2 linked regions of the Ovis aries genome follow. The protein of the gene in region 2 purifies or fractionates together with the protein of the main gene of each other region. This does not show direct contact. Links are inferred from orthologs where the notes say so. Each region holds a gene or a part of one and is shown on either strand. Other genes may lie near its edges. The genes, in order: COL1A1 and P4HA2.

The links.
Region 1: the proteins of P4HA2 (region 2) and COL1A1 purify together in Homo sapiens (co-immunoprecipitation; 3 studies listed by BioGRID and IntAct, counting the BioPlex papers as one, with this or other methods). This does not show direct contact. The link is inferred for Ovis aries from reciprocal best matches to the Homo sapiens genes P4HA2 and COL1A1.

Annotation. Positions count from the first base shown.
Region 1 is NC_056064.1:36,197,464-36,201,268, reverse strand, and holds part of COL1A1 (collagen alpha-1(I) chain), read right to left. Parts: intron 3,755-3,805; coding exon 3,656-3,754; intron 3,529-3,655; coding exon 3,475-3,528; intron 3,309-3,474; coding exon 3,201-3,308; intron 3,123-3,200; coding exon 3,069-3,122; intron 2,786-3,068; coding exon 2,687-2,785; intron 2,488-2,686; coding exon 2,434-2,487; intron 2,348-2,433; coding exon 2,249-2,347; intron 1,644-2,248; coding exon 1,590-1,643; intron 1,400-1,589; coding exon 1,346-1,399; intron 1,230-1,345; coding exon 1,176-1,229; intron 1,078-1,175; coding exon 1,024-1,077; intron 590-1,023; coding exon 545-589; intron 454-544; coding exon 355-453; intron 76-354; coding exon 1-75. UniProt on the Homo sapiens protein: Type I collagen is a member of group I collagen (fibrillar forming collagen).
Region 2 is NC_056058.1:19,991,137-19,994,941, reverse strand, and holds part of P4HA2 (prolyl 4-hydroxylase subunit alpha-2), read right to left. Parts: intron 1,445-3,805; coding exon 1,205-1,444; intron 1-1,204. UniProt on the Homo sapiens protein: Catalyzes the post-translational formation of 4-hydroxyproline in -Xaa-Pro-Gly- sequences in collagens and other proteins.

The sequences.
Region 1 (3,805 bases), on a different chromosome or scaffold from region 2:
ACCTCGTTCACCAGGCATTCCTTGAAGGCCAGGGGCACCCTGGCTACCAGGGGCTCCAGGGGCACCAGCATCACCCTATGTGACAACCGATAAGACTGGAGTGAGACTTGGGATCTCAGAACTAGGTCTAGGTCACAACTTTGAGCCTCGTCTTAATTCCTCCCAGGCCTGGTCCTGAGGCCAAAGACAGGCACTAGCTAAGAGAAAAGGCTCACAGCCCAGAACTTCAGGCTGCACATGGACCCTACCCTAGTCTTGTCCCTCCACCCCTCCCAAACATCTAGCTGGCTTTGGTCCCAGCCAGGCGGCCCCCACCACTAGAAGGGTGAGACCTGGTCCCCATGCTGCCCTTACCTTAGCACCATCGTTGCCAGGGGCACCATTGGCTCCACGGGGACCTGCAGGACCGGGCGGCCCTTGCACACCACGCTCGCCGGGGAAACCTCTCTCGCCCTGGAAGGGAAGGACAGGGTGTGTGATGGTGGCTCCAGAAAGAGGCCCAGGTGCAGGGCATCTCTGTGATGCAAGAAGAGGCTCTACTTACTCTTGCTCCAGAGGGGCCGGGGGCACCAAGGTCTCCAGGAACACCCTGAGGGGGAGCAAGGGAGACAGTGAGCAAAACCCACCTTGGCCTTCCGCACTAGAAAACATTCTTGCCCACCTGGGAGCTAGCCCTTAGAGTCTGTGACTAGAGACCAACCCCTTCTGAGCACTGAACTGGGATTATCCTTCCTCGGGATGTGTCACCTTTCCTGAACTTGAGGTTGAAGGAAAGCCAGAGTATTCCAGCAGCTCTAAAAAGAAGTCATCTAGACCCGCAGCCATGCAGCTCCCTCCCAATCCTAGCATGCAGGGGTGCAGCTCTGTGCTCCCCTCTGTGTGGCGTCCTTCACGATGGGAAGCCCTTCCTCAAGTCTAACCTTGCTCCCTCTAGCTGACGGCTGTGTGCTTAGCTAGGAGGGCTGGATTCTCCCTCTGTGTTGCCTGCACTCCCCGTCTCTTCAGCCAGCTGTTACACCTTACCTGTTCACCAGGTTTGCCTGCTTCACCAGGAGGACCAGCAGGGCCAGGGAGACCCTGTGGGTGGGAAATGGGGGAGGGAAGCATGGGCTTAGAATCTGGAAGAAGTGTTCCTCACACCCCTCTCCCAATACCCTGACAGCGTGAGACCTCACCTGGAATCCAGGGGAGCCAGCAGGGCCTTGTTCGCCTCTCTCACCAGCGGGGCCCTGCATGGAGGGAATGCTGTGCTCATGGAAGGCCCAGAGAAGGGGGCAGGGGACTGGCACCCCTCTCCTGCCCTACAGTGCCCCCCTTCCTAGGCCTCCCTGTCAGGGACACTCACAGCAGGTCCTGGGGGTCCCTGAGCTCCAGCTTCTCCGTCTTTGCCAGCAGGACCCTGGGGAAAGAGTTAAAAAGGGGTTAGAGTGGTGAGGTGGGTGGGCAGCTGAGGAAGACAGCACAGGTAAGGGGCTTGGAGCTGGGGGTCCTGATGCCCTAGGAATGGGCTGGAGTCTCATATCCCTTCTGCAGGATATAGGGATGGGACATGGGCAGGAAAGTGACAGGAACCAAAAGGAGATACTTACAACAGCGCCAGGGGGTCCAGGAACACCTCGCTCTCCAGCTTTTCCAGGCTCTCCCTGGGGAAAGAGAGGTAGGGTTGAGGGAGTTGAAGTGGGCAACTAGGCCTCCTGGGTCCCTCCTGTTTACTTTGAGTGGCATTTTTAAGGAGCTGTTTCATCTATCAGCTCTGGCCCCTGAGGAAGGCCTCTGTTGGCTTCGACTGCTCCATCTTTTGGCCTCTCCCTGAGCCCTGTCCTCCCAGACACATGCCCCTTAGGCTCCTCTCTCACCCACTTCCCTTTCTTCTCCCCATCATATGCCTGCAGACACCTGAGCTCCGAAGGGCTTTCATTCCTTTGAAATCTCCTTTTGAGCCTCAAAGAACTCACCAAGATCTGGGGATGACTATCATGAAAAAGGCTCATCCTATCCCCAAGTGTGTGTGGGGTGGGGAGCGAGCAACAATACTTATTTCCAGGGATAGAGCAATGGTAGTGAAGCCAAGGAGAGGTCTCTCATTTTATGGAGTAGGGAAACTGAGGCCCAGAGGGGGGCAGTAAGTGGCCCGAGGCCACATAGCAAGTCAGTGGCAGAGCTGGGCCCAGACCCTGGACTCTTCCCCCCACGCCTACCCTCGCCTCAAGTGTGTATGTCCATGTAACACAACTCCCTGAATACTTACAGCAGCACCTTTAGGTCCAGGGAAACCCATCACGCCAGCCTGACCACGGGCACCGGGAGGGCCTGGGGGTCCAGGGCGGCCATCTTGACCAGCGGGACCCTGAGGATGGAAGGGACACGAGCAGAGGTGAGGGCAGAGGGCGAGAGGTCAGGAGGCGGACAGGGGCCTGGAGGAGGGATACTTACAGGGGGGCCAGTTTTGCCATCAGGACCTGGGCTGCCAGGGCTTCCAGTCAGACCCTGAGGGGGAGGCAGACAGGTGTGAGTGGAGCGGAGGATACAGGTGATGGGAGAGGGGCGGTAGGAAGGTGTAGGCCAGGAGGACGACATTCCAGAAGGCGGATCTGTGGTCCTGCTCCAGAGCCAACACAGGATGGGCAGGGTCCTGGGCCACTAACAGACAACAATAAATTCGCTGGGCAGAGTGCTGGAGTCTCACCTTGGCACCGGGCAGGCCAGCTTCACCGGGGCGACCAGCTTCACCAGGAGACCCTTTGGGGCCAGCAGGGCCAGGAGCACCGCGTTCACCAGCAGGACCCTAGTTGGGAGAGTCACAGCAATAATTAGGGTTTCAAGTCTGGGCCACTTCATCATGGGCTGGCATCCACCTCTTCCTCCTGGGCCATGGGGCTGGGTGCTTTGAGGGGCACTGGTGGTGGTGAGGAGGTCAAGGTGAGCTGAGTGTGACGAGGTCAGCAGCCCCCGTGTGGGCGCTAATGGACTGGGCGGTGGGGCTGGGAGGGGGCCGATTACATCCGGGAGAGGAAGGTAATGTCCAGGGAGCAGCAGGGTCAGCCTCCCAGTCGTGATGAGAGGTTTACCTTGGGACCAGCAACACCGTCAGAGCCAGGGAAACCACGGCTTCCAGGTCCGCCCTGGGGGAGGAGAGGAGGTCAGTGAGCTCAGACACATGGGCACCAGGTCGGCACTGGGGTGAAGAAGGGGGCACTTACACGCTCGCCAGGGGGTCCAGGCAGGCCAGCAGGTCCAGGTTCACCTCGGGCTCCTCGCTTTCCTTCTTCCCCAGCGGGGCCAGGGGGGCCTTGAATACCAGTGGGACCCTGGAGAGGGCAGAGAGGAGGGGGCAGCTTACAGTGAGGGGCTGTCCTGGTGCCAGCTTCAGAGTTGTCTGGAGGCTGGGTCTCCAGCACCGGGGGTTCCGCTTCCTCCCTGGACCACCCCCCAGGGGCTTCTGGGGCAGACAGACGGAGCTGCGAGAGGACTTACGGGTTCTCCCTTGGCACCAGTGTCTCCTTTGCTGCCAGGAGCGCCGGGTTCACCCTGAGTAGGGGGAGAAGATGAGTGAAGAACGGGTACAGTGCTCAGCTGGCCTGGCCCATCATGCTTCCCAGACAAGGGCCTCAGATCAACATAGGAGGTGGGACAAAAGAGAGACAGTGGTACTTACGCTGTTACCCTTGGGACCAGGGGGGCCACTGGGGCCCTGGGGTCCAGAGGGGCCTCGGGCACCAGGGAAGCCAGGAGCACCAGCAATACCAGGAGCGCCCTGAGGGAGGCAGAACAAATTGAGCCCAGGAGTGGAGGGCACAGGGCAGGT
Region 2 (3,805 bases):
AGGTCATTCAGAGAAATTATTCTGTAAGCGGTTTTCTCCCCCAGCAGCTCACTTGCACGCAGCATTCTGGCTTCCACAGCACCTAAGCGGGGTTTGCTGGTCATAGAGGAAAAGCCAACAGAGGTTCTCTCCACTCTGGTCAGAGATGAGAACGGAGCAACAAAGCGGGGGGTGGAAGGGATGCTGCGCCACTGATGCAGATCTCCTCTCAGACTTCCCTGGAAATCCTGAGGACACGGGTCCAGAGAAGCAGTCCAGAGTTCTGCCTCCTCCTCCCAACCTGGCTGCATGCTAGCTTCATCCATGCCCTAGAGTCCATCTGCTCCATTACTGGTGAGCGCATCACGCCCTGGCCACAGCGAGAAGGCAGGCTGAAACACCAGCAACAAGAACAGCCACATGACACTCCCACAGCTTTGTCCTATGGGCCTCACGACACGAAGGAGCAAGCCAGGCAGGAGTACTGAGCCACCCCTCAGAGGAGGAAACTGAAGCCCAAAGATGTGAGGAAATTAACGTGAGGTTATTCAGAGGGGGAATCCAGGTGACCCGACTCCCTGTCCAAGGCTCTTACTAACATGACAGAGTCTACACAGCTCTCTTCCCATATCCATCTAACAGACATCCACACTAGCTGGCCTCAGATGCAGGACCCATGAAAAGCAGCAGCAAAAGGAAGCCTTTGCTGGCCAGTGAAATCCCAAACTATGATATCCCAAATATTAATAAGAAGAGGAACAAATAGGTTCTTGAGACACAGTGCTTCTGATCTCCTTCAGTCTAACATCACAGGACACTTAAATGACCAGAGCCATGGCAAGTCCATCAGTTAGACCTCAGGCCTCTAATACCAGGTCAGGTAACTGTCACTGCAGCAACACTGAAATACAGCTTGCCTCTCGAGCTACTGTGGACGCAATAAAGGCTCCACCCTACAGAGCAGCAGATAGACTGCAACCCTGGATCCCCATTTATAAATGGAATAGAAATCGATATGCAGGCCTGAGTGGATCCATCAGTGACTGGGCAAGGGTTAAGGCCAGAACCGAGGTAGGTAAAGAGCAAGCTGGCAGCTAGCCTGGGCCTGAAGGCAGCAAAGGATTGGTCGCCGGCTAGGCAACTGGTCAGACTGGCTTGGTCCCTGACAGGAGCCAGCCCTGCCACCTCCCCATCTGCACCTGACCTTCCCCCAGAGGCTCCTTACCCAGGGAGAGCAGGCGGCGGGTGAGCTCCACAGCACGGTGCAGGTCACCCAGCTGGAAGACAGCGTAGCTCAGATAGTCCAGCACCTGGGCCTTGGTTGTGGTGGCCTCCTCCCCAGCATCGAGCTGCTTTAGCACCTGTTCCATCCACAACACTGTGTGGTAATAGTCGCCTTCATTGTAGGCCGAGCGGCCCATCCCAAAGCAGTCATCCACACTCAGCACGGCCTGGTACTTGGTTCCTGCAGCCGGAGAGGCATGTAGTCAGGCTCCAAAGGGCCTCTGGGTTAGGGAGAGAGATTTCCCCCATTGTGGGAGCCTGGGCCCCTGCGAGGTGGGGGCGTCACCCCAGCAGAGGCCCACTAGGATTTCAGACCACACACCTCCAAGGGCCATGAGTCCAGAAAGCACAGCCATGCTGGCCCTGTCTCTGGCTGGGGTGCACAGCCTGTCTCCTATCCTCAGACTCCCCTCCTTCCAAGTGGGAAGGGGCCTTTATTATGGAGGAGCCCAGGATACCCAAGAAGTAGTGCTCAGGAGAGTAAAAAGGTCCTGCGTGCCTCACAGGAGATGTCTGCAAGGTAGCTGACCATTTGAGACTGGAAGTTTAGAAAAAATAACTTGAATATAAAAAACAGAACTGAGGTGGCAGGTAAAGCCATGGATGAAGATAAATGCTTCCAGAAATAAGTGTCAGGAAAGAGAGACACAGTAGTTGAGGCCAGGGCCCCAGAGACCACCTGTACAGAAACAGTGGAGTGAATAACACTGAGAAGTACCTAAGAGGCAGAAGAAATGGAACAGGAGGGGCCCGGCAGATGCCAAGGGAGGGCAAGAAATAAGACTGCAATGCCAGCTTTGACCACTAGGCGGTGGGGCCCTTCAAAGGGAAAGTGTTCGTCACTCAGTCCTGTCCCACTCCTTGTAACTCCATGGACTGTAGCCGCCAGACTCCTCTGCCCACGGAAATCTCCAGGCAAGAATATTGGAGTGTGTAGCCATTCCCTTCTCCAGGGGGGTTTCCCAACCTAGGGACTGAACCCAGGTCTCTCACACTGCAGGCAGATTCTTTACCGTCTGAGCCACCAGGGTGGGGCCCTTGGTTAAGTCAATTCCGCAGGTCCTCTGACCATAGGTCATCTGCTGTTGGTTCACGCTGGAAGTGACCATGAAGAGAGTTTCAAGTCAAGAAGGAGATGTGATGTGTAAGCTATGGGGAGATGCAGGGTTTAACCTGTGACCCTCCTGGAAAGCAAAGGAACTTCCCTACAAAACCATTAATAGCAACCCAGGCATGGCTAACAGTGGAGAGTTGTCTCAGAGTGGGCTCTTTCTGCCTGATATCCAAGATGCCCAGAATGAAATCCCTGCTGCCATGGTTGGCTTCAGGGGCTGCTCACCAGGATGGCTCAGGAACAGACAATGTAGGACAGGATAGGAAAACGGGGAAAATAAACACCAGACAGAGTTAGCAGGAAGACCATGGATGGGAGAAGGGAGGCATCCTTGAGTCCTTGTTCACTCTCCATGAACCTCCAGATCTCTGGCTCTGTGGGTGCAGGAACTCAACACTGATGGAGGCAGCATAACACAGGTGAGCCGGTTGGACAGAGCAAGGCCTGTGTGGGCCTACCTATGGCACCCAACAGCTGTGTGACTACGGGCAAGTTACGTAGCCTCTCTGATTCTTGGTCTGTTACCTCTAAAAAGAGATAATGCCATCAATTTTAGAGGACTTGTGCCAAGAATTCAAGAAGACAATGTCACATGAAAATGTCTCCTATGAGTCCTTTGAGTGCAATAAACAGTAGCTATTACCATATATCTCACAGATACCAAGAATGTCAAGAATGGCTCCCAAACACTCAGTATCTTTCCCAGAAACCAGTGTGAAAGTCTGCTCTCTGGAGAGTGCTCTCGGGAGAATACCAGCTGAGCTGAATGCTGAAGGGCCATAAAGGTAAACCTGCAGAGTTTGTGGGATGAACAAAGAAGCCAAGCAGTGGTGAAGCTTAGTACAACGGGCAAGGAGGCCAGGGAGACGGTACCACGCAGGACCGCAAAGACCACGTGTTAAGAGGAATTTGGATTTAGCCCTAAAAGTAAAGCACTGTGAACAGGGTCCCCTGGAGAAGGTGCTTAGGGAGACACCAGGTAGGAACAGCATCCACCCCTCACTGCCCCTCCAGGATACACACGGGGCTGTTACTGAATGTGAAGGGTCAATGCCTGGCTCTGGCTCCTTCTTCCCACCAACCATTCTCATAACTATAGGGTGAACGGATCCTGCAGGTGCCTCAAGCCACCTTCTCTCTCTGGCCTCCTGGCCTTATCCAAAATCTGACTGAGTGAGGATTAAGGAGACATCCCCAATCTTCCTGTTGGCTCCCTGGGCTTCCCAGTGCCAAGGCTCTGACTAGCCAACAACACAGGTCCTCCCTCTCCTACACACCGTGATTCCCTCTGCTGCGCCTCCTACAGGGTCCCCACGGGTGAGGGAGCCTCCAAGATCTACCAGAGTCTAACTGAATCCCTGGGTTTATTGCCCTTTAATAACCAAACCCCTACACATCTTCTTATAAACATACTGAGGTAGCCAGTTG